Linked DNA regions of Caenorhabditis elegans. The protein of the gene in region 1 interacts with the protein of each later gene in a pairwise test. Each region holds a gene or a part of one and is shown on either strand. Other genes may lie near its edges.

Region 1 (7,909 bases):
TTTCGGGAAAGTGGTTGTGGCTCAGGTTACAAACTACAAACTCGGCTTAGCCTCACCAAACATTTCCGAAGCGAAATCTGATGAAAATACTCGAAATTTCCCTCATTTTTCTTCAAAAAAAGCTCCAAATTTTCAAAATTCTAGGGATTTCCCTCAAAAATCAGAAGAAAAACTGAAAGAATCAGGGTTTTAACCAGAATTCCGAAAAAAAAATTGGTTGAGGCTCAGGCTACAAACTACAAAATCGGCTTAGCCTCACCAAACATTTCCGGAGCGAAATCTGGTGAAAATACTCGAAATTTCCCACATTTTTTCTCAAAAAAGCTCAAATTTCCATAACATTTCATGTATTTCCGACAAAAATCATTGAAAAATTCAAAAAAATTACAAATAAAATTGATTGAAGCTCAGGCTACAAACTACACATTTGGTTAGCCTCACCAAAGTTTCAACGAATTTTTTTCGAACTCACACTACATACTGTGATTTTCAGCTAGAAATTGCAGAATTCTGATTGAAAAAAATCAATTATATCTCGAAAATCTTACAACAAAAAAGAGATTTTCAGGAAGACATAGGGATTTTCCGTAAAATTTGACCGAAAATTGATTTTAAAACCTGAAAATCTAGATTTTTTCAGTGGAAAATCCCATTTTCTGTAAAAATTTGAAGTTTTTTGCAAGAAAAACAAGAGGGAAAACATTTGAGGGGAAAAATTGGTTGAGGCCTACACTACAAACTACAAATGTGGTTAGCCTCAACCAATATACATTTTGCTCGATTTTAAGGTATTTTTTGCGGAAATTGATTGATTTTTACGGGAATTTTTATATTTTGTTTTGAAAAAATGGATTAAAATGCGAGAATTTTTCAAAAAATCTTTTTTTTCAGTAAAAAACTGAAAAATTCGATTATTGCGATAAAAATTGATTGAGGCTCAGGCTACAAATTACAAATTTGGGTAGCCTCAACCATCATTTTCACTCATTTTTAGCGGTTTTCCGGGATTTTTTCTTAAAATTTCGTCTATTTTCTGAAAAATTAACCTTCAAACCGCCAATAGATCCCTCCAAAATCTGCAAAGTTCTGTACATTCCAGAATTCTGAAAATGAATGACGTCATGCTTCTCGACGTCGAACATTTTCGACACAAGAATCGCCGTATAATATTGGCAGCCTTTGTTCGAATAATAGATTTTATACAGCGATTGAAGCTTATCAATCGGCGCCAAATCACGGTCGACGACTTCTTGGAGGAATAGGATGTCCGGATTGACGCTGAAATTTTTTTTTGGCGTTTCAGGTTGATTTTTGAAGATTTTTGACGGTTTTTAGTGATTTTTTTGCTGATTTTGCATCAAAATCAACTAAAAATTTGAAAATTCCGTGAAAAATCGCCGATTTTGCTCACTTTTTGACAATATGAGCCACTGCTTTCATTCTTGTGAGCAAGCTTCTCCCGTCGAGCCCATCAATGTTCCACGACATTACGCTGACTTCGAATCCCTGAAAAAATTTGAAATTTGTTGGAAAAATCGCGAAAAAAGTGAATTTTTTTTTGGTGAGGCTAAGCCGAGTTTGTAGTTTGTAGTCTTAGCCTCAACCAATTTTTTTTTCGGAATTCAGGTTAAAAGCGTGATTTTTTTCAGTTTTTCTAAAGATTTTCGAAGGAAATTCATGAAATTTTATGGAAATTTGAGCTTTTTTGAAGAAAAATGAGGGAAATTTCGAGTATTATGCTTCGGAAATGTTTGGTGAGGCTATACCGATTTTGTAGTTTGTAGTCTTAGCCTCAACCAATTTTTTTTCGGAATTCCGGTTGAAAGCGTGATTTTTTTTTAGTTTTTCTACTGATTTTTGAAGGAAATCTATGAAAATTTATGGAAATTTTAGTTTTTTTGATAAAAAATGAGGAAAATTTCAAGTATTTTCGCCAGATTTCGCTTTGGAAATTTTTGGTGAGGCTCGGCCGATTTTGTAGTTTGTAGCCTGAGCCTCAACCAATTTTTTTTTTCGGAATTCCGGTTGAAAAAGTGATTTTTTTCAAATTTTCAATGATTTCTGTGAAAAATCACTGAAATTTTACGGAAATTGCAGCATTTTTGAGGTTTTTTAACTCGAAAATCGATGTTTTTAGGTGGTTTGGCTTGATTTTGCTCCAAATATTCTTCTATTAACCTTCAAATCCTCTGCCGTCATCACCGCAGCTCCAGAGCTCGCCATAGACGATGAAGCGCCCATTACGGCCGCACTTCTGGCCTCTGCGAACGCCTCACTCCCGTAAAAAACGTCCAGAGCCTTCTTCAAATCCCAGTCTACATCCTGTAAAATCGACTGCGCAAAAGCCTCATCTGTGGCCGTGATTATTGCAAATTCATGCAGTTTTTGCTCGTCGCTCACTGAAAAATCGCGGATTTTCGCCTTAATTTATTGATTTTTCGGGTTTACTCGACGAATTTTTCAGTTTTCCTTGCTCCGGCTCATCTAGAATCTCGATTTCGACCTCGGAATCTTCTTGGGACACTGAAATATATTTTATTTGATTTAAAATTCAAATATTTTGAATTTCCAGCTGCAAAGCCTTACTTTTCTGTCGTTTAGCCTCAATTTCCTGTATTTCATCGTCAGAATTCGACATTTTTGAGCTGAAATTAGAGGATTTTATCATATTTTTTCAGAAAACGCGAAAAATCCACACGATAACTATTGAAATTCAAAAAATCGCGAAAAGAATAACTGAAAAGGCGGAGTCTAGCCGGGGGGCGTACCCTATTTGCAATCCTGGCACGCGTGTTGCAACTGCGGCGCACTTTTACCGAACGTGGAATTTTATATCGCGGATTTGGATCGTTTTTCTTCCCGTTATTTTCCCATTTTTCCTTGGTTTTCTTGCAGAAAATCCATAAAAATAGCAAGAAAAGTGAGTATTAGAGGTTAAAATCGATATTTTCACCATAAAAAAACCCCAGAAAACCGGCAAAAAACGATGAAAATCCGTGTGGAATTTTTTTAGACCTAGTTTCGCAATTTTTTCAATATTATCTTGAAGATTTTGATCTATTTTCGTGATCTTTACTTATTTTATGTGCCATATCCCGATTTTTATACCGAAAACCCGCGAAAATCTAGAGATTCCGATGGAATTGCTTTATTATATTACACGTGGAACTATTTTATTTCTTGATTTCTGCCGGTTTCTTGCTTTAAAATCTTAGAAAATAGCGTTTCAAGTGGGTTTTAGAGCCGAAAATTTAGATTTTCGATAGGAAAATCGCCTAAAAATCGATGAAACCATATTTTTGGCCTACTCCCGCTCTAATTTTGAAACTTTGATCTCGTTTAGGTCGAATTTCAACTAAAAAGTCGAATTTTCCTGTCAAAACACATGAAAATCCAAAATTTTCGTAAAAATATGAGCTCCGGATAAACTTGGGTGAGGCTGAGCCAATTTCGTAGTTTGTAGCCTGAGCCTCACCAAAATTCGGATTCTGTGTTTAATTCTTGATTTCTAGTTGATTTTCGCCGGTTTTTTTTTGCTTTTTTCTTTCTTTTTCTCCCGCAAAACCCAATTTTCCCTTTAAAAAACCCCCGTTTTTTCCAGATGGTGCATTCAAACGGAGCCATCACGAGCACAATTCTGAAGGCTCGTCACGCCGACGTCGTCCGCAAGACGTCACTTCACCACGCCAACGACTTGACACTCATCGATCTCGTGCTCAATGTGCAGCGGCTTTTGGCTCTCCCATCCGACGCGAATTTCGTGTTGAAGTACAAGGATGAAGGTAGGAATTGCACTGAAAATTGCGATTTTAATTCAATTTTTGTCAATTTTAGAAGGCGATTTGGTGACACTCGCCGAGGATAGCGACCTCCTGCTGGCTCTTCACACGTCTGGAGCCACGCTCGACGTGACCGTCGTTGTCGACTCGAGAGCTCGTGAGGCTGTGCACGATGTGCAGAAGCAAGTCGAGCAGATTAAGGTAAGGAGGATTTTGAGCGAAAAAAAACGATTTTTGAGCTGAAAAGCGCAATTTTGAGCGGGAAAATGCAAAATGTTGCAGAATTTTCATCGAAAATGCTGCATTTTTGAGCTTTTTAGACAAAAAAAAATCCGGAAAAACACTGAAAAATGTTGGTTGAGGCTAAGAAACAAGTGTAGTTTGTAGTGTGAGCCTCAACCAAACTAGCCAAAGCTTGAGTGAGGCTATGGTGATTTTGTAGTTTGTAGCTTTAGCCTCAACCAAATTAGCTAAAGCTTGAGTGAGGCTATGGTGATTTTGTAGTTTGTAGCTTTAGCCTCAACCAAATTAGCTAAAGCTTGAGTGAGGCTATGGTGATTTTGTAGTTTGTAGCTTTAGCCTCAACCAAATTAGCTAAAGCTTGAGTGAGGCTATGCAGCTTTTTTTTGTTTATAGTGTGAGCCTCAACCAATTTTGTTTTTAAAATTCACAAAATCTTTGGTTTTTCACTGAAAAATTGGAGAAATTTCAGCGTTTTCATTGATTTTTAAACAAAATTATCCAAATAATCGGTTTTTTTTTTCAATATTTTTAACACAAAATGGCTAAAAATTGGAATTTCTAGTACTACAGCTAGCGAAAAACGAATTTTAATTCAATTTTTCTTTCAGCTTGATGTTGGAAAGCTTCTTGGCGCTCTCAGTGCTCTCGACGTTGCCCAGATCGCCGAACAATCGAACACATCGGTGGCGAATCTCTCGGCTCCAAAACAATCTCACCACGACAATATTGTGTTCCAAAAGAGCTTCGAAGCGGCTCCACCATCGCCAGTGCCTTCCGAGAAGGCCGAGCTCCCGGCGACGATCCAACCGTCGGTTCACGAGCAATTCAATCATCGCCCGGCGCACGTTGAGGAGGAGATTCCGTTGGAGAATCACTATGCTCCACCACCACATCAGCAAATTCCCGATGATCTGAACACTAGCTTCAGCTCCCAGCCACCGCCACCAATTGAGCAATTCGGAGCGATTCCGCCACCGAACGCGACGATCCCGTCGTTCCCAACGTCGAATGCGGCGAGCCCACCAGTTCAGGAGTTTGCTCCACCGCCTCCACAGCAGCAGCAGCAACAATTCCAGGCTCCACCACCACCGATGGCGTCGCACTCTTCGATCTCGTCGACTCCAGTGCAGCAGCAAGGATTTGCTCCACCGCAGCAGTTTGGCGGGCCACCACCGTCTGGACCACCATCAGAGTATGGAGGATATGCTCCACCACAGCAGCAGCAGCAGCAATTCGGAGCCCCACCACCGCAGGGAGCTCCCCAGCAAGGATTTGGAGCACCGCCACAAGGGCCACCACAGGGAGGACCACCACAAGGATCCTTCGGAGCTCCACCACCCCAGCAATTCCATGCTCCATCACCACAATCGTTCGGAGGGCCACCGCCGCCAGTATCAAGTGCTCCAGGAAACTTTGCCCCTCCACCACAATCGGGACCACCGGGCGCTTTTGCTCCACCACCATCCGCCTTCGGAGCACCACAGGGGCCGGGAGGCCCAGGAGGCTACGGTCCACCACCGCCAGGAGGCCCAGGAGCCCCAGGATCGTACGGACCACCACAAGGAGGCCCAGGAGGATTCGGACCACCACCTCCAGGAGGCCCAGGAGCCTACGGACCACCGCCAACCGGATTCCCACCAGTCGGAGCACCGCCACCGGGAGCCGCCGGAGCCCCGGGAGGAAATCCATTCGCACGAGGACCATCTGCCACGGGATACCGCCAGTCGCCGTATCAGCAGTAATTAATCGATAATTTATTGATGTTTTCTTCTTTGTTTGTTTGATTCCCATAATTTAAATATTTTATGTTTTCCCCCGTCCTTCCCCCCTAGTGTACAAGTTTCCTTTTCTACTCGCTCGCCCCTGTTTCCTTGTGATATAGCGCTGGAGCGCCTTTTCTCTTTTCCACGTGGAATTCACATCAATTCTTGTCGTCTTCTCTCTCTCTTTCTCCTTTTTTTAGTGGTATATAATATTTATGATATGAATTTAAAAAATCTCGGGCTCCTGTCTCTGAAATTCTTTTTAATTGAAGCATAGAAAAAAGGGTCTAAATTTCATGTAACTATGTAGAGGAAACATTTTCAAAAGTGATGTGATTGGTGGGAAGGGAATAGAAATAATAATGCATAGGGAACACGAAAACATACAAATTTTTTTAAATAAAATATTTAATTTAATTACTTTTAGAAGAACAGAAAACCCAGTAGAGAAATTGATTGAAATTTTTTTGGAGAAAAGTGCGGGAGAACAATGGGGGGCCACTGAAGAAAAATTGAAAAATAAATTAACGAATAATTTGGAGAGCAATTGTTGGAGCATTTCGCTACTCTTCATCCGAGTCATCGTCTTCTGTATAATCATCGTCCGACGACACTTCGACGGCTTCATCGTCCTCATCCACGTAGTCGTCGTGCTTGATTTCGACGAATTTCGCCTCTTTCACGTCGATCTGCAATAATTTTGAATTTATTGTTGAGAAATTTGCTGCTTTTTGTGTCGAAAATGGATTTTTTGAGGAGAAATTCGCCTGAAAATATAATTTTTTACAATTTTTCGCATTAAAATCCGTCATTTTCAATCAAAAATCACCTTAAAATCAACACTATACTCCGCATCCATATAGGAATCCGATTTGACCGACAAATTGTACGTGTAGATTCCTTTGTGTGGTGGAGCCGCGAATCGAATGTCAATCTGAAAGAAATCAATAGGAATTTAGTGGGAAATGGAGTTTTTAGTGCAAAAATATGCCATTTTTTGGGGCGAAAACTTCAAATTTTGGCATAGTTTTGCCAAAAAAATCGTCAAAAACGTAGGAAAAAATTGTGGTTGAGGCAGATTCTGTAGTTTGTAGCCTGAGCCTTACCTAACGAAAAATACAATTTTTTTCTTTTTTATCTGTAATTAAGGAAGGAAACAACAAATTGTTTAGAAAAATTGATCGTTTTTAGCATTTTTTTTCTAAAAAAAATCCATAAAAATTTCAGAAAATCCCGATTTTTAACCGAAAAAGCATTAGAAATATTGGTTGAGGCTCAGACTACAAACTACAACTCCCATTAGCCTCACCCAAATTGGTTGAGGCTAAACCGATTTTGTAGTTTGTAGTGTAAGCCTCACCGAGATTTAGTGGGTTTTAAATCGATTTTTCAACTAGAAAATGCTGATTTTAGGATAAAATCCTTCAAATTTATAGGTTTTCAACGCTAAAATTCGAATTTTCCTTCAAATTTCCAAGAAAAATACTCAAAAATCGACATTTTCCGTGTCAAAGTCCTTCAGAAAATCCCGATTTTCAACCGAAAAAGCATTAGAAATATTGGTTGAGGCTCAGACTACAAACTACAACTCCCATTAGCCTCACCCAAATTGGTTGAGGCTAAACCGATTTTGTAGTTTGTAGTGTAAGCCTCACCGAGATTTAGTGGGTTTTAAATCGATTTTTCAACTAGAAAATGCTGATTTTAGGATAAAATCCTTCAAATTTATAGGTTTTCAACGCTAAAATTCGAATTTTCCTTCAAATTTCCAAATTTTCAAATTTCCAAGAAAAATACTCAAAAATCGACATTTTCCGTGTCAAAGTCCTTCAGAAAATCCCGATTTTCAACCGAAAAAGCATTAGAAATATTGGTTGAGGCTCAGACTACAAACTACAACTCTCATTAGCCTCAACCAAATTTGGTTGAGGCTAAACCGATTTTGTAGTTTGTTTGGTAAGCCTCACCGAGATTTAGGGGTAAAAAATCGATTTTTCGACTGGAAAATGACGAATTTTAACTCAAATTCGTCAAAAATCAACATTTTCCGGATCAAAATCCTCCAAAAAACCAGATTTTCAACTCAAAATCCTTCGAATTCGTACCGTTTGCTCATCAATCAGT
Region 2 (8,873 bases), on another chromosome or scaffold:
CGCCTTTAAAGAGTACGGTACCTTCCACTTCTCGCCGCGTCTGGCAAGTAGTTGACTTAATTTGACTTTTTAGTGGTTCATTGATAGTAAACGTGACCTCTAAAACGAGTATTAAAATGTTATGAAAACAAGTTATTAGAGAACAAATTAGATAATATGATATCAGAATGAATATCGCACTTTCCGAGTCGGGAGAAAAAATTGTTCGGATCAAAAATCAAACAAAATTCGATTTTCGATTTGTTTGAGCTACAAATGTATTTCCTTAGATGTTAAGAAAACCTAAAAACCACATTTTCCAGAAAAAATTGGTGAACTGCCAAGTTTTTCAATAAAAAAAACTTAGACTTTTTGAGATATTTCGAGAATTTCCGCAGGTTCGGTCTCCTGTAAAGTTTGAATAAAAATTACTTTTAAAATAATTAAATTGAAGAGTGAAAATAAAGTTTTCATTACAAAAAACGTTTCATTTCAGAAATATGCTCATTCAGTCTACTTGATAGAGTAAATGGAAAAGATATTCGAACGAGTATTCCCGATTTTCGAACTTCCGACGCCGACGTTGGAATGAGATCGGTTAGTTTTTGACTAAGATTTTCAGTTAAATTTTTGAAAATTTCAGGCTCATTTTATTGGCTCATTCCGGGGCCAACCGATAAAAACACGTCAACACCATGCTTTTATAGACGATAATGGGTGAGTTTAAAATTGGAGATGATTTTAAAAATTAAGAAAAAAGGAAATTACTACCCATACGCGAGTTTTTGCGATTTCCGCTCCAAAACTACGGTACTCGGTCTCAACACGCTTTTTCTTTGTGAAATACAAACATGTGTGCGTCTTTAAAGGTTACTGTAGTTTCAAACTTTAGTTGCTGCGCGGAGTTTTCATCGATTTTTCCTAGTTTTTTATTTAAAACTTATTTATTTATTATTAAACACTAAAATAGAATAAGTAAATTTTAGCAAATCGTAAGAAAAACTGTTGGAAAACAATTAAAATTTCACAGTACCGAAGTTTTGAGAATACAGTAACCTTTAAAGGCGCCCACCCGCATGTATTTTACAAACAATTGTCGTGACGAGACCTGGTGCTGTATTTTTTGCACAAAAATTGAAAAACTTCACGTCTTGGTGATGAAAAATATTAATAAAAGTGGATTTCAGTGTTCCAATTCCATTGCTGCCTTACCACGAACACTTTGCCACGTCTGCAGAATCTTCGTCACATCATCAGAAGCTGAAAGCGTTGGCGCGTGAACACAAAATCCTCAAATGGGCCAAGGAAATCGGTGGCATCGCTAAAAAACGGAGAAGGCGAAGTGGATGGAGTGGATGAAGATGTTCTTGTTTTCTCTAATTGATCAACAACAACAATACGGGACACTTCTGTTTGAATTTTGAGATTTATCGGAAACATAAATATTTGAAGATCGTTTTTCGAACCAACATCATCAGTATTATGCATTGTTTGATGGGGAAGAGAAAGGGGATAGAGAAAAAGAGGAAAACGGGCGGGATTATAGAGATACTTTAGAAAGTGGGGGAGAAGGGAGATAGTATAAGAAAGAAAGAACGGTGACACAATTTTAAAAAATCAGGATTTTCTGCCAAAAATTTCAATTTTCAACAAAATCATGACAGAAAAGGGATGACGAATTGAATTCGAACAGACCAAAGGATGGAACTCGAGTTACGGAATCCTTGTAGGATTGGGGGAATTCTTTAGCAAAAAAAACAACAAAAAAGAAAAGAAAAACAACAAAACGTTTCAACAACAAATCGGGATAGACATGAGGGGGTTTCTTTTAAAGCTTTCGCAGTTGGAATTCGGTGGGATGGTGGTATTAGCATGGGATGGAATGAATAGAGATCGAAGTGAATTTTGTTTGGGCGAGCGGGATATTTGAAAGATTCTTGAAAATCGGAGGAAGTTTTTGTTGTCGTTGGACATCGGTGCCAATCAAAATCCAACGATTTTACTTACGTTTATTCTGGAAACTTGATGGGAATTAGTTTTTTTTTTCAATTTATTAAAATACAAACCTGATAGTTTCCACGTTGTCCTCCTCCTGATCCTCCACCATGTCCACGTGAGTAACCTCCACGACCACCACCACGTCCACTGCCTCCACTTCCTCCAGACGATCGTCCACGATAGCTACCAGTAGAATTTCCGCCATAACTATGGCTATAGTTCTGACCGTATCCTCTACCGCCACTGCGATTTTCTGAATTGTGACGAGATTTATGTGACTGATTGTCTTGTTCGACTATTTGATCGGGAACATCCGGTACAGTATCATCCTGATCATCACTTATTTCCTGCGGATCGATCGGCTTCTGCGAAGACTCTCGAGATTTTGCCACACGTTCTTCTTCTTTCTTTTTTGGACAAATTAGAGGGTGATGACCTTGTTCTCCAGTCGCCTCACAATGCCCGCATTTGATCTTTTTCATATGCTCACACCACAAATCACCATTATCCTTGCGAATACTGAAATTAAATTTTTAATTTTTATAAATTAGAATTTTTAATCTTACTTATGGGAAGACACTTCTTCAGCAGGCAACTGGTAATGTTCACATCGATAACAGTGTAGTTCAGATTTCGAAGTAACATCATCTTTAGACTGAATATCATCCGTTTTCGGATTTTCCTCGCTTATTTCAGTTTTTGTCGCTTCGATAGATGCTTCTTGATCAACTTTAAAATCTTTCTTTGGGGTCTTCTTCCGATGTTTAGGAGTGCTTGACCGACTTGGTGATTCAGAATTTTCAGTCGAAGTTTGATCATCTTTCGATTCGACTAACTGAAGGATCTGTTTACTTGGTGATCCTGCACGTGAGCTAACTGGTTGAAGATGTTCAATTCTATTGGTAAGCTGTGTAACTGATTCATCCACTTGTTGACTGTCGGATTGATATTGACTTGATGAATCAAAATTTCCTCGATTTTGTGGATAACTTTGAGAAGAATTGTAGCTTTGATTAGAATTTTGACGAGAATGTTGGTATCCGTGACCTCGTGAACCACCTCTTCCTCTTCCTGATCCAGCATTTCCACCTCTTCCAGAATTGAAGTAGCCCATCGGCTGTTGCTGTTGCATTCCAAAACCTCCACGTATTGGTCCTCCCATTTGATTAATTTGTCCACTCATTTGATACGGCGGGCCTCCCATGAGCGGCTCAACACCTCCTGGACGTCTACCTTGCTGTTGCATTTGTTGCATTTGATGGTGAGGCGGCGGAACCATTTGCATATATTGTTGCGGTAGATATTGTCCTGGATGCTGTTGTTGGGTCATTTGTGCATTCATATGAGGATGATTTTGCTGATGGGGATGATTCATCATAGAAGCAGCAGCATGAGGTGGTGGTGGGCCTCCTTGTGGCATTCCGTATGGTTGCATTTGCTGAAACATCTGAGGAATTGTTGTTTGTTCTTTTTAAAAAAAGTGTAACTCTGTGAAATTGTCAAAATATAATATAAAATCTTCCCCTAATTTTTTTAAAGTTGTACCTGCATCTGATGTTGCATTTGGACGGCTTGTTGTTGATCCATTTGTTGATGTTGTTGCTGAGGCTGCGTGAAGTTTCCTGGTGGAGCGTAACCGACAGGCATCTGATTCCAGAGTGGGTTCGATACAAAATCCTGTTGATGGTAGCCTTGTTGAGGTTGTTGTTCATTCTGATGTTGATGTTGCTGACCATCGTCCTCATTTTGACTGTTTCGTTTACTTTTGCGAGCATTTCCTCCGTCTTTTTCCAAACTGCTAGCTCCACCAGCTGGCTCTTGCCGGAACACTCGTGGTGCTGGCACAGGAACATACACCATTGGATACAGCATTGGATGTTGTTGCTGCTGCTGTTGATTCTGTGGATTGTGAGGCATCATTTGAATAATTTGGCCTTGCGGGCCTTGTGGACCCCTATACTGTCCATAAGATTGAGCATTGTGTGGCGGTGGTGGCCGTTGCTGGATTACTGGTCCAGCATAATATTGAGCTTGTCCACTATGTCCCTGCTGTTGATAGGTATTTCCTGGAGGAGGTCCTTGTCCACGGTACTGATCAATTTCATAGTTGCCACTGTTCATCATTTGCTGCTGATTTTGTGGTGGTGGCCCTGCTTGAGGATCTAAAATTATGCTTTTGAACAGAACACAGTAAGTTTGCACCAACTATATTGTGGCCGACCATCGAAATTATCGTTGGGGCCATGAATGACAAAATTATTGTTTCCACCGTTGTTGTCATCCGCGTATCCACTTGGCGGACCACCGCTTTCCATTTGTTGATACTGCTGAAAATAAAGAATTTGCAAAATGTCTATCAACTCTTCTCATTATTTTCCTGTAGATATAATTTCCAAATCATAACGCTCATTAAAAAATTATTATGAGCTAGAAATAATTGAGGAGCCCGTAATTCTCCATACCCGATAGCCTCCTGGTGGTCCTCTTTGGTATTGTCCACCATCGGATCCACCTCCAAACTGCTGCTGTTGATCATATCCTTCTTGTGGTGGTGGTTGTTGTTGCTGATAGCCGGGCGCGCCGACGGTTCCTCCGTAATATGTCATACCATTTGGTGGTCCAGTATGTGGCGGCTGTGGGCGCATTTGAGAGAATTGCTGTTGACCGCTGTTCCGATGATAAGCTGCTCGATGCTGAAAATGAATGAGATAAATTACATGTTTGATATTTCACTGATTTGAAAAATCTCTCAATTCTCTTAAAACCTTGCGCACCTCAAAAGTGTTCTTTTTCTGACTTATCTTTTTTCGATAGGATTTTCAATAGTTTCCTACTTACAAATCCTGGCGGAGCACGTGTCTGTTGAGGTGTGCCCTTTTGGTCGTCAGTCCCTAGCCCAGAATCTGGTGTTGTCCTAGTGGTGTTTCCTGGCGGCTCTGAATACTCAAACGAAATTGCTGACGACACGTTGGCAGTCGAGTTCGGCACCGAATCAGTCGTTGAGGTATGATGGGGGTTGTTGTTGTTTTGGTTTGAGTTTGCAGCGCTGCCGCCGTTTTTCTTGTTGTTATTATTATAGACGGTTGGGGCACGTTGTTGTTGCTGCTGTGAATGTTGCTGGAACTGCTGTCCAGACATTACCAAGTGAACGTTGACTGTAAATGTTGACTATCGAAGTGTTTTAAAATATGCAATATGTTTAGAAAAAGAGAATCAGCAAAATTTTATCGGAATCTATGTTTTCAAAAATAAGGAGCTCAATTGGCAAAGAGTATCAAAGAAAATGAGAAATTGAAAAAGGAACATGTGATTTTGGTAAAACTAGTTTTTAGTTCTCAGTTGAGTGGAAATAACAGAAAAAAACATACTCGGAACACTTTGTGTGTAGAAATGTAATAATTGCATATTTTTCCAGAGTTTATATTGCAAAATGATAATGTTACTAGTTTAAGATAACTCTTATTTGAAGGCGGCAAGGTAATAAGAGAACAAAAAGGTTAGAAATCTATAAAAAGCGTCGGCGAACGCTAATAAATTCATCGATAAAATGCCGAAATGGGTGGGCACTTAAAGGCGCGTAGAATTAAACGGGAAGTGGGTCTCGCAGCGAATAAGTACGGTGACACTTGTTTCGGCATTAGTGTCGATTTACGGAGTCGTTTTTTTAGATCATTTGATAGATTTTAAGTAAATTTCACCTATTTTCTATTCTTTTCATCAACCTTTACAGTTTAAATTATGTTATTCTTATTTTTAACTCTTGATCCCTCAAATAACTGCGTTACTAAAACATTTTAAGGTGAAATGACTGAACCTATCAAGGAAATTGCCGCGAAAAGAAGTGTCGAAGCAGTTTACACCGGAGGAACTGTCAGATGGAGTGCAAATGGTCAGAAACTTTTTTCTACATGCACAAATGTTGTGAAAGTGATTGATCTGGCTGACAATACTGCAAGGTATGTGATGTTGCGACAGAACTTTAAAACAAGTTTCACCCACAAAACTAGAAGTAGATTGATTATGATTATTTGAAAAATTGAATATGAATAATTTTGAAGTTTAATAAAATAAATTAAATTTGAAATGCATCAAATCTTTTGCAGCTATACCATCGGCGACCCTGAAGATGAGCTACGCATTACGTGCACAGCTGTCGACAAGAACAGAAATCGCCTTTTGGTCGCCTATAACAATCAAATAATTCGTGAATACTCAATTCCTTTGGATCCGTCGACAACTAAACCAGAGTTGGCCAGAACATGGAAAACCATACACACTGCTCCTATTCTCGTTATGGAATTCAATGAGGAGGGCCATTTACTGGCGACTGGAAGTGCCGATCACATCGTGAAAGTCTGGAATCTGACAGAGCAACAATGTACACACACATTAAAAGGACCCTCGGTAGTTTCAGCAATTCTGTTCGGAAAACATGAAAAGCTTGTCGTTGGATACATTGAAGGACAATTGAACCTCTATAATATAATGAGAGGTGCTCCGAAAAAACTTGTAAACACATGGAAAAGTCATAATTCTCATATTACCGCACTGCTTCAAGTTCCGGATTCACGAGTTGTTGTGGCTCTTTCGCGAGATCAGACGATGAGTATTCATGAAACAGAAACTCAAGAAACACTCCGAGTTCTTCCACTCTACGAATCAATTGAAGGCGGAGCAATCGGACATAACGGAAATCTTTTCACTGTTGGAGAAGAGGGTGTTGTTAAGGAATTTGTGATTGAAACTGCGAAGTTGGTCAGAAAGAAAAGGATTGCCAGCTCGAATCTCGATCACTTGGCCTACGATGTTGTTTCTAATCGCTTTTTGGCAATTTCCGCCGAACAAAATCTTATAATTTTGGATTTTGAAAATCTGAAAATTGCAAGACAAATTGTTGGATTCCATGACGAAGTGAGTTTTATAGTTGACCTTGAAAGAAAAACAATGATTGCAAATTGGAATTGAAAACCATTTGTTGATATCATTTTTGTCATATCAAGTTGCTTTAATGTATAATTTTTCGAATGTAAATCTTTTATACAAAATTCGTAAAAAAACACCGAAAAACGAAAATATTTGATTTTATCATTTTTTTAATAATTTTTTCTTTGAATATTACCACTTTTAATATGCTCTCAAATTGCCAAGTAATATTTCTACGAATAGTAATAATTGGATTTAAGAACCTTCTTAATTATTATTCCCTATCTTCAGATCTATTCGTGCTGTCTTCTTGGAAAAGATGAATCTCACATGGCTGTCGCTTCCAATACTTCTGAAATCCGACTCTACAACACTAAAACCCTGGATTGTCAATTAATTCGTGGTCACACAGAATCAGTTCTTTCCGTAGTATCTCCTACCTGGGACACATCTCTACTGGCATCATGTTCTAAAGATAATTCGATTATCTTTTGGAGACTTGTAACATCTCCTGAAAATGACTCTTGCTCCACTCTGGTCCCAGTTGCGGCAGCTACAGGACATGCAAATACAGTAACTGCTCTAGCGATTTCCAATACCGGACGAGCTCCTTTCCTGGCATCAGTATCAACGGATTGTACTATCAAATTGTGGGGATTGGGAGTTTCTACAAAACTAAAAGAAGTCAAAATTGATGCAGAAAAAGATTTTGTCGAACAGCTGTAAGTTTGAAAACATTTTTATTGCGAAAATAATTCACTTTCCAGCCCAAAACTGACATGCAGTTCAACAATGGTTGCACATGGAAAAGATGTGAATTGTGTTGATATTTCCGAATCGGATGCTCTTATTGCCACTGGAGGAATGGATAAACTAGTAAAATTATGGCAAGTGGATACTCACAAAATGCAATTGGGAATCGCTGGAACTCTATCAGGACATCGTCGTGGAGTTGGAGATGTTAAATTTGCAAAGAATTCTCACAAACTTGCATCTTGCAGTGGAGATATGACCATTAAAATCTGGAACATCTCGGAAAAATCTTGTCTTCAAACCATTTCCGGACATTCTTGTGCTGTATTCCGAGTGATATTCGCTCGCAACGATTCTCAGTTGATCTCTGCAGACAGTGCTGGAATCATCAAGATTTGGACAATCAAAACTGCTGATTGTGAATGTTCCATTGATGCGCATACTGACAAAATTTGGTCGCTTTCGAAAAATCATAACGAGTCAGAGTTTGTGACTGCTGGAACTGATGGGCGGATTGTTGTCTGGAAGGATGTTACAGAGGAGAAACAAAAAGCCGAGGATAATAAGAGAAGAGAGGCTATTGAACAAGATCAGACTTTGACAAATTTATTGAGTCAGAAGAGATATTCGGAAGCTCTCGTGTTTGCACTGACTCTAGCCAAACCGTTTTGTGCTTTTAAGGTGATTAGTTAAATTCTATTAAATGAGTTTTGAATTATCCATTTTAAACTTTCTTTCCAGGTTATAAATGCTCTGATGGCTGAGGAGACACCAGAAGAACTCGGTTCCGCAATTCGCCGCCTTGACACCCGTCAAATTGAGATTCTACTGCAATTCACAGTGAAATGGAACACGAATAGTCGAACATCGTCAGTTGCACAACGAGTTTTGTACGAAATTGTTCATATCGTGGATCCAGAGGAGTTAGTGTCAATGCCCGGTGCATATGGATATATTGAATCATTCCTACCGTACACCCAACGGCACATGGATCGATTGGATCGGGCAAAGCAAGATGTTAGCCTATTCGATTTTGTTTGGAGACAAATGAGAAGCTCTGTCTGAAACGTTAAAACTTTTTTTGTTATTGTTGTTGGTTTTTGTTGAATTTTCAAGCTCATCGGATCTCTATAGTTATCTTTTTTATTTTTAAAGTTATTTGTTGTTTTTTTTTTGTTATAGCTCAATAATTTTTATAAAATTTGTTTCCTTTTCTCCTT
Region 3 (7,481 bases), on another chromosome or scaffold:
TAACAAACCATATTTCCATCTGTATACACGCAAGACTATTTTTCGAATTCCTCATAACTTTGGAAAATTGCCCAATTTTTGACAAAACCTAGTTTGATACCGTTTAAACCAGGAAAAATACATACTTTTACAATATTTCATCAGCTATTTTTTTACGTTTTTAAGTGTAAATTATTCAAAAAAAGACTAGTTTTCTGAAGTTTAAACAAGTTCCTGATGATAATAAGTCAGTGTAAAACTACCAAATATTGCAAGAATAATAGGGATTTCAGACACCTTTTCAACTGAAGTGTGATTTAAAGAAGGAGTTAAGTGCCAATTCGCAGAATTGGAGGAACTTTTTTTTATTTTCGGCTGATTTGCTAATTTGCGAAAACGTTGGAAATATTTTTTTTATAGCAAGACACTGAATGGTGTGTATTCTTGAAATTTTTTCCTGTTTTCTTCAGATATTTTTAATCAAATTTACTCATTTTTATATCAATTCGAGAAACCTAGAATATGTCCAGTTTTCAAGTTCAAATCCAAATCTCATTCAAATCTCAAAAATTTCAACAAAAATTTTAAAAAACAAAGTTTGCCAAAAGTTTGAAGTTTCAGCAATAGCAGAATTTCCGTTTGCCAAAAAATATAGTACTATGTATAATTTTCTGAAATTCTAGAAATTCCGCCCAGTCGGGGCGCAACGGAAAACTGGACAATTTACATTGTAAGGGGTCATAAATTAATGAAAATTTCTAAAAACGATTAATTTTATTTTTATTTTCAAAAATATGATAAAATGTAAAAGTTCATTAAAAACGTCAAGACCAAACCACCAACATGAAGAGACTTGGAGTTGATCCACCATGTGGAGTTCTCGACCCAAAGGAAGCTGTGCTGTTGGCTGTTTCGTGTGATGCATTCGCATTTGGACAGGAAGACACCAACAACGACCGTATCACCGTCGAATGGACTAACACTCCGGATGGAGCTGCCAAGCAGTTCCGCCGCGAGTGGTTCCAGGGAGATGGTATGGTTCGCCGCAAGAATCTGCCAATCGAATACAACCCATAGGTTCCTTGTAAAATAAATATTGTTTAATGCCTGTGTTGTTTCTTTCTGTAAATTGAATATATATACACTTGTCGCTTATCCTCTAGATCAGCTGGCTTCGTCGCTTCGTTGTTTCTACAGATATTTCTTGCAAGAATCTTCCGATCGAATACAACCCATAGAACTTCTAAATAATTTTTTTCCTGATTCACTGGTTGCTGATTTTATAATTTGAAAAATAATATTGTCTACCATGTTTCCAAATTTCAAAATATGATATTGTGATATACGAACTTTCTTTGAATACTTTGTTACAGAACTTCCTCGCATGTATCATTTTGAGAAGAAGTTGTATGTTCGAGAGCCGTTTCTAGAGAACTAACAGAACGAATTTTTTAGATTTCAGAATTATCAACAAGATCATATGCAATGCCTTGAATTCATAGATAAGAGATGATGAAAGATGGAGCTGACTGCATTTGAAAGAACTTTCATTTTATCTATCTAACAATCTAACAATTATTAATAAACAATTATTCATTTTCATTGTTGTGTTTATCATTCGATTACTCGGAAAACATTTTTATTGCTCAAAATATATATTTTTCTAGCTAACTGGAGTAGTTTCAAAATTGCCATTCGGTTCAGGATAGGCGGTTTCAGGCTTACTTTTGTTTAATTAGTCCCAGGTCTTCGAAACTCAATGTTTTATTGTGTCCTGTGTTTCCCTTGATTTTCACTAAATTAATTCTGGGGACATGAGAAGGTAATCTTGGAAAATTGAAATAAACTACAGTACTCCTCAAAGACACGATTTTAAATTCAAAAAAATCAGTCGTGTCGAGACCCGGTACCGTATTTTGGGTGTTAAAATCGGAAAATTTCGCCAATGGGGATACGATAATTTGAGTTTTATATTCAAATTAGATGTATGATATAGGAAAACATTCCACTAACGGGTGTATTTGATTTATTTTGCTTGTATTTACAAATAATATATTTCGAATGCTCGCCTGTTTCTTGATATTGTCCTCGTGTTGTTCACGGCCGAAGTTTTTCACAATTATCAATAGAGCGCTTCTGAAAACTCGTCCGCGACAGTGAAAATTTTAATTTTCAGAATTAATTGTTTTTAATTTAACGATTTTAATTAATTCTCTCATTTACTGTTGCAAGATTTTTTAATGCTATCTGTTGAATATTTAATTTTATCACTATTTTCAATAATTACGATGTAGACGCTTTATTTGCAATATATATTGCAAACAATATTACAATATATATTGCAAACAATATTGCATTATACGCAGATTATTTTCTCCCGTTTTGACAGAATAAAATTAACTTGACAATGTGTGTGTAAACACAGTGACGACAAACTGCGACAATGAGTCATTCAGGTTTAGTCTTTTGCGAATTAGTTTATTTATAATAATTATATATTATAGGGTTATTGGGATATTTTTTTATCTCACCGTTAATGAAAAATGTTAAATATATTCCTGTTTCAAAAATTGGCTACAATTTAAATCAATATATTTGTTTTGTAATCATTATCATAGAGGGCCGGGACTCTTCCCACTGAAACTCAATACTTTTGCATATTTCACATTCTCTTCCTCCGTTGGTTCACCAAAAGAGAAAAGGGACCGACATGAAAAGGAAACGAAAGCTTAAAAGAGACGGAAAATCGATGTACTAGAGTGCTCGGAAGTAGTTGAGAGGCGCAGAGAGAGAGCTTTCATTCAGAAGACACACGACGTTATTCCTCGCAACGCCTTCTTCTTTTTAACAATCTTCAATACATTTTAGTGAACTTTCTTTTATTTCTGTTTCATTTAAAAATAGTCTTAAATTTCACTATATTTAATTTTTTTCTTTTATTATCTGGAATGTTTCAGCTTTCAACATGGATGATTCATACGCGATAGCTACACCGCACAATGATGTTTTTAATCACGCATTCGCAGAGGTAAATATTTAACAATTTGTAATACGTTAACAATTGTTATATTCCAGATGAACCCTCACGGAGCACCAAGAATAGGAGCTGCAGAAGCAGCTACTTTCCTTAAAAAATCAAACTTGGCGATGCCTGTGTTAGGCCAGATATGGGAGCTTAGCGACTCTCAAAAAGTTGGATCATTAGATAAGAGAGGAGCATTTGTTGCTTTTAAACTAGTCGCAGCTGCTCAACAAGGTAACTTTTATTACCTATTTGGAATCATATTTTGTTGAAAATACGATATGCTCAAAAGTAACCTTAACAGCAAAATATTTCAGGGAAGCCCGTCGCCAATTCTTCCCTCTACGATTCTTCCCTTCAGCCACCACGGTTTGCACCACCTGTACCACCAGCAAACATGCAGCATCATTTCCAACCATCGTTCCCATCGGTTTGACTGAAAAGTGGTTCCTCTATTTCTAAGTGTTATTATTCAGGTTGGCCGTGCTCCTCCAGTGCCACCACCACCACATCCATCACATCCTTATTCGATCTCTTCTCAACAATCTTCTCCAGCTCATCCATCGTCAGCTTTTCCACCACAATGGCCGATAACACCAACTGACCAGGTAGCAAAAACTGAGAATTAAAAACTTTTAAAAAATCTTTCTATTGGCACGAATAGAGAATTGACAGTTATTTTCCTTTACAGATTTGATCAAATATTCTTGTAATTATTTCAGGCTAAATATGACTCCATCTTCCAATCATTGAATCCTGTAAACGGAAAATTGTCTGGTGCACACGTACGCCCGGTTCTGATGAACTCTGGACTTGATGCTCATGCTCTGGCTCGAATTTGGGAACTTTCGGATCAGGACAAAGATGGAAACCTTGATCGAATCGAAATGTCTGTTGCACTTCATCTTGTATACCGATCACTTCAATCAGACCCGGTTCCTGCACAGCTCCCACCAAATCTCATTCATCCTTCGAAAGCAATGTATGCTCACAGCTCACCGAATTTCGCTGCTCCTCCACATCCTCCACGTCCGATGATGGGATCGAGAGCAGGATCTGTGACGTCATTGGATGATGTGAACATGAGTCAATCGTATTCTGCAACGATGCCACGTGCATATCCACCACAACCAGGTCGTGCTTACTCTGCACAGGCTCATGTGAATGGATCACGAACCAGTGGTGCATCAACTCCGATATCTGCTTCTCACTCGATTCACTCATTTCCTGCTGGTGAATGGCCTATCAATACAGGAGATTATGCTGATCAATTTGCTCAAACTGATACGAATAAGGATGGATTGGTTGATGGCATGGATATGAGAGCTCCCATGATGACTACTGGATTGAGTGCACAGATATTAGCACATGTCTGGGCATTAGCAGATATAAAAAAATGTGGACAGTTGAATTTGGAGCAATTTGCTTTGACGTAAGTCTTTCAAGTTTACCAAATATCTAGTGTAACTAAATATTAATTTTCAGAATGCATCTTCTTGACATGGCAAAACGAGGCGAGTCCATCCCATCAGAACTGCCTTTACATCTGATTCCACCTTCATTCCGCCCACCTACGGAACCTTCAGCTTTGCATCATCCTGCTCAATCAGTTTCAACTCCACAGCTCCCAGAAGCAACTTCGATGGAAATTAAAGAAGCTTTGGAAGGCGAAAACGAAGAGATGAAGCAGCTCGCAGAGTCTATTCAATCAATGCTGGTGGAGCGGAAAACTGCAGAAGAAGCTGTTTTACAACTAGAAGCTGATATGACTATTAAGAACTCGAGTATCAAAAATCTGCAGGTTGAATTGGCCACCTTGGAGTCGACAGTTAAACAGTTGGAGCGACAAAAAGGTGAAGCCACACGAAGATTAGCTGATTATGATACTCAAATAGAACAGTTAGAATCAGCATGTAAAGCACAGAAAGAAACGAAAGAAGATACCGAGAAACGAATGCAACAAATTGATGAAGATGCAAAGAATGCTGAGGACTGTAAAGCAAATGATGAAAAAGAAATGGAAGAATTGAAAAAAGAAATTGAAATGCTCGATAATCAATTCAAAACTGTTCGTGGAGAAATTGTCAAAGAAACATCACAAAGAGAGCAAAAGGTGGCCGAATTGACAACTCTAGAACGAAAAGAAGCAAGAGATCAGATACAAATGGAAAAGCTGGATGCTGCAATCGAGAACACGACAAAACTAACAGAACAAGTATCAGATGCAGTCGAAAAATCCGAGGAGGAAATGGTTCAAATTCTGAGGTCGCAACAACGATTATTGTCTACTGTAATCGATCAATCGTTGCTATCCGATGACACTGTTTATGGAGAAACAGCTGGAACATCATCTCAAAATCATGTTCAACAACCACCTGATCCGTTTGCATCCGCCAGAGCAAGTAGGTTTATATTTTTAAGAAACAAAAAGAGTTATGAAAACTTTTATTCTGACTTAAAGTTTTGAAATATGAATATATAACATAAATTCAATTTCCAGATCCTGCTGCTGATCCATTCGCCCAAGTAGATCAGTTCGGCTCATCTGGACATTTTGATGCCGCTTTCCCAACTGATCCATTTGCTCAAGGAGGCTTCCCATCGGATTCTGGCTTCGCACAATCGGCTCCCGCAAAACCTGCTCCACCTCGCCCAGCTCCTCCAAAATCTGCTCGCGAAACACCTGTCAATGATCCTTTTGCGTAAGTCTTAGTGAGTATCAATTTATTTAAAGTCTAAATAATTTCAGCCCATCACAAGGACAATCAACTCAACCGGCTGGATTCGCTGATTTTGCGGACTTTGGATCGGCTTTCAATTGATTTTTAATAATTATACCTTACCCACTATAAGCCCCAACGCCAGTCAAATTGTTTTACTTTGCCCAAATGTTTACCTGTGCCAAGTCATCGACATAATTTATTGATGCACATTTTTAAGATTAGTTTTTTTGCACTTTCCCACTTGAATTGTCACTTTTCTAGGTTATGAAATCAGAGCAATAATGTTATATACTGTAGAATATGAATATGCATGATTATTATGTAAATTATGAGTTATAATATATAGTAAATGATTTGCAGATTAATTTTATGTTGCGTATTTGATATTTTCAGTCTCATGTGTAAAAACGGAGCACAAGTAAACGGGTTGAAGGGGGGGAAGTAAACCGTAAAAGAAATTGATAAGGAAAAAGGAGAATCACAGAAGTTTGAAAATAATAGTGAAAAAGTTGTGTGAAGAAGACATAATTATGCTAGAAATCGAAAGAAAATACAGATTAGATGTACAAGAATGTTCGTGTCGGATTTACATACAGTGGCCAGTATCCTGAAAATAATAATCGCTATATTAGAATTTATTTATATATTACTGTTTACCTTCAATTGTGTCAAATAGAGTTGTCGTTTAGTTTCTATAGTCTTCTGAGGGAACGGATTCAGTTCGTTGAATGCCACTTGAGCTAGCGACTTGAAGTCAATGATATGTTCTTGAGCTTTGCTGAGACATTGATGAACTGTGCCTGAAAATTCTTGTTAAAAAACTAATAAATTTAAAGTTGTAAGTCACAAACCAATAGTTTTACATTGAAGAACGTGAGGTTCGCATATTTTGAAAAGTGCCAGTGCGAATCGAAAAAGAACCTTATTTCCTTCATAGAGGAATGCATCGAATATAGTCAGATAAATAGAATGCGGGAGTACATCTACAAAACACGTCAGGAACCAACTGAGCGCGAAAAGTGAAAGATCAACTTCAAGAGCTCTCAAATGTGCAGCCAATTTTGGAAGCTTTTCTGCTACAAGATCGCGGAGAACTTTCTGATCGGCAACCGCTCCGATCAGTGAGCTAGTGTAATATCCTTCAGGTTGGAGATGTTCCACACATGCTACAAGGAACCAGAACGAATCCTGCTCATCCAGGTTTAACAGAGCAATTGCAGCAAGACGATTGAGTCCTTGGCAGTAGCCGACGTGAGAGTTATGGTATCGGAAGGCGTAGAGTACGTTTCGTAGTTTTTCTATGTTAGCAGAATCTGGCTCGTCGAAAAGTTTATTCGTGGGCAGAGTTCGAGCGAGGTCAAGATCAATCTGAAAAAATAATATGAGAAACTCGAATTTAGAATAATATAAATATACCTGTTTGATGGCTGCATCGTAACTTCCATCCTGCTTCTTTGTTCCAGCCTTTCTGAGCATACTTTGATAGTATCCATTACCCAATTCTGCTTGCTTATCCTTCACCCAATGTGTCACAATTATCTTCCATACACGACCTCTGTAGGCAGGTGGTACTCCAGTTCGAATAAGAGTTTTTAGATCAGGTGAAGACATGATTGCAGTCTGCCGGGATACTGTATTGTTGACAAGGAACGCATCCCACGATTGTAACCATTTCATGTATTCTTCAGATTGTTCCAATTTCGTTGCTTCCACTACGTCTCCCGCTTTTTTCATGTAAAACGTGGCAGTATCCAAAA

The links. The genes of interacting proteins can lie anywhere in the genome.
Region 2: the proteins of tfg-1 (region 1) and nos-3 interact in a two-hybrid assay, tested with the Caenorhabditis elegans proteins (one large-scale study listed by BioGRID).
Region 3: the proteins of tfg-1 (region 1) and ehs-1 interact in a two-hybrid assay, tested with the Caenorhabditis elegans proteins (one large-scale study listed by BioGRID).

Annotation. Positions count from the first base shown.
Region 1 is NC_003279.8:14,098,446-14,106,354, forward strand, and holds tfg-1 (Protein tfg-1), read left to right. Parts: upstream 1-2,876; 5' UTR 2,877-2,920; intron 2,921-3,601; coding exon 3,602-3,782; intron 3,783-3,834; coding exon 3,835-3,980; intron 3,981-4,630; coding exon 4,631-5,764; 3' UTR 5,765-6,025; downstream 6,026-7,909. Other genes in the region: tdpt-1 (5'-tyrosyl-DNA phosphodiesterase), read right to left, coding at 1,047-1,278, 1,412-1,506, 2,179-2,399, 2,449-2,523, 2,587-2,638; dnj-29 (J domain-containing protein), read right to left, coding at 6,349-6,474, 6,615-6,719, 7,891-7,909.
Region 2 is NC_003280.10:9,742,976-9,751,848, reverse strand, and holds nos-3 (Nanos-type domain-containing protein), read right to left. Parts: upstream 5,534-8,873; 5' UTR 5,383-5,533; coding exon 5,346-5,382; intron 5,148-5,345; exon of another isoform or gene 5,133-5,147; coding exon 4,816-5,132; intron 4,671-4,815; coding exon 4,440-4,670; intron 4,305-4,439; coding exon 4,184-4,304; intron 4,140-4,183; coding exon 3,523-4,139; intron 3,425-3,522; coding exon 2,544-3,424; intron 2,497-2,543; coding exon 2,046-2,496; intron 2,001-2,045; coding exon 1,989-2,000; coding exon of another isoform or gene 1,979-1,988; 3' UTR 1,395-1,978; downstream 1-1,394. Other genes in the region: Y53C12B.7 (uncharacterized protein), read left to right, coding at 476-576, 623-696, 1,167-1,338; Y53C12B.1 (U3 small nucleolar RNA-associated protein 13 C-terminal domain-containing protein), read left to right, coding at 5,782-5,933, 6,081-6,888, 7,192-7,622, 7,668-8,334, 8,395-8,718.
Region 3 is NC_003280.10:5,817,776-5,825,256, forward strand, and holds ehs-1 (Eps15 (endocytosis protein) Homologous Sequence), read left to right. Parts: upstream 1-2,936; 5' UTR 2,937-2,944; coding exon 2,945-3,007; intron 3,008-3,054; coding exon 3,055-3,235; intron 3,236-3,318; coding exon 3,319-3,431; intron 3,432-3,477; coding exon 3,478-3,609; intron 3,610-3,723; coding exon 3,724-4,433; intron 4,434-4,486; coding exon 4,487-5,403; intron 5,404-5,501; coding exon 5,502-5,703; exon of another isoform or gene 5,704-5,750; coding exon 5,751-5,823; 3' UTR 5,824-6,087; downstream 6,088-7,481. Other genes in the region: ZK1248.4 (MSP domain-containing protein), read left to right, coding at 823-1,056; tbc-2 (PH domain-containing protein), read right to left, coding at 6,311-6,331, 6,382-6,524, 6,576-7,092, 7,141-7,481.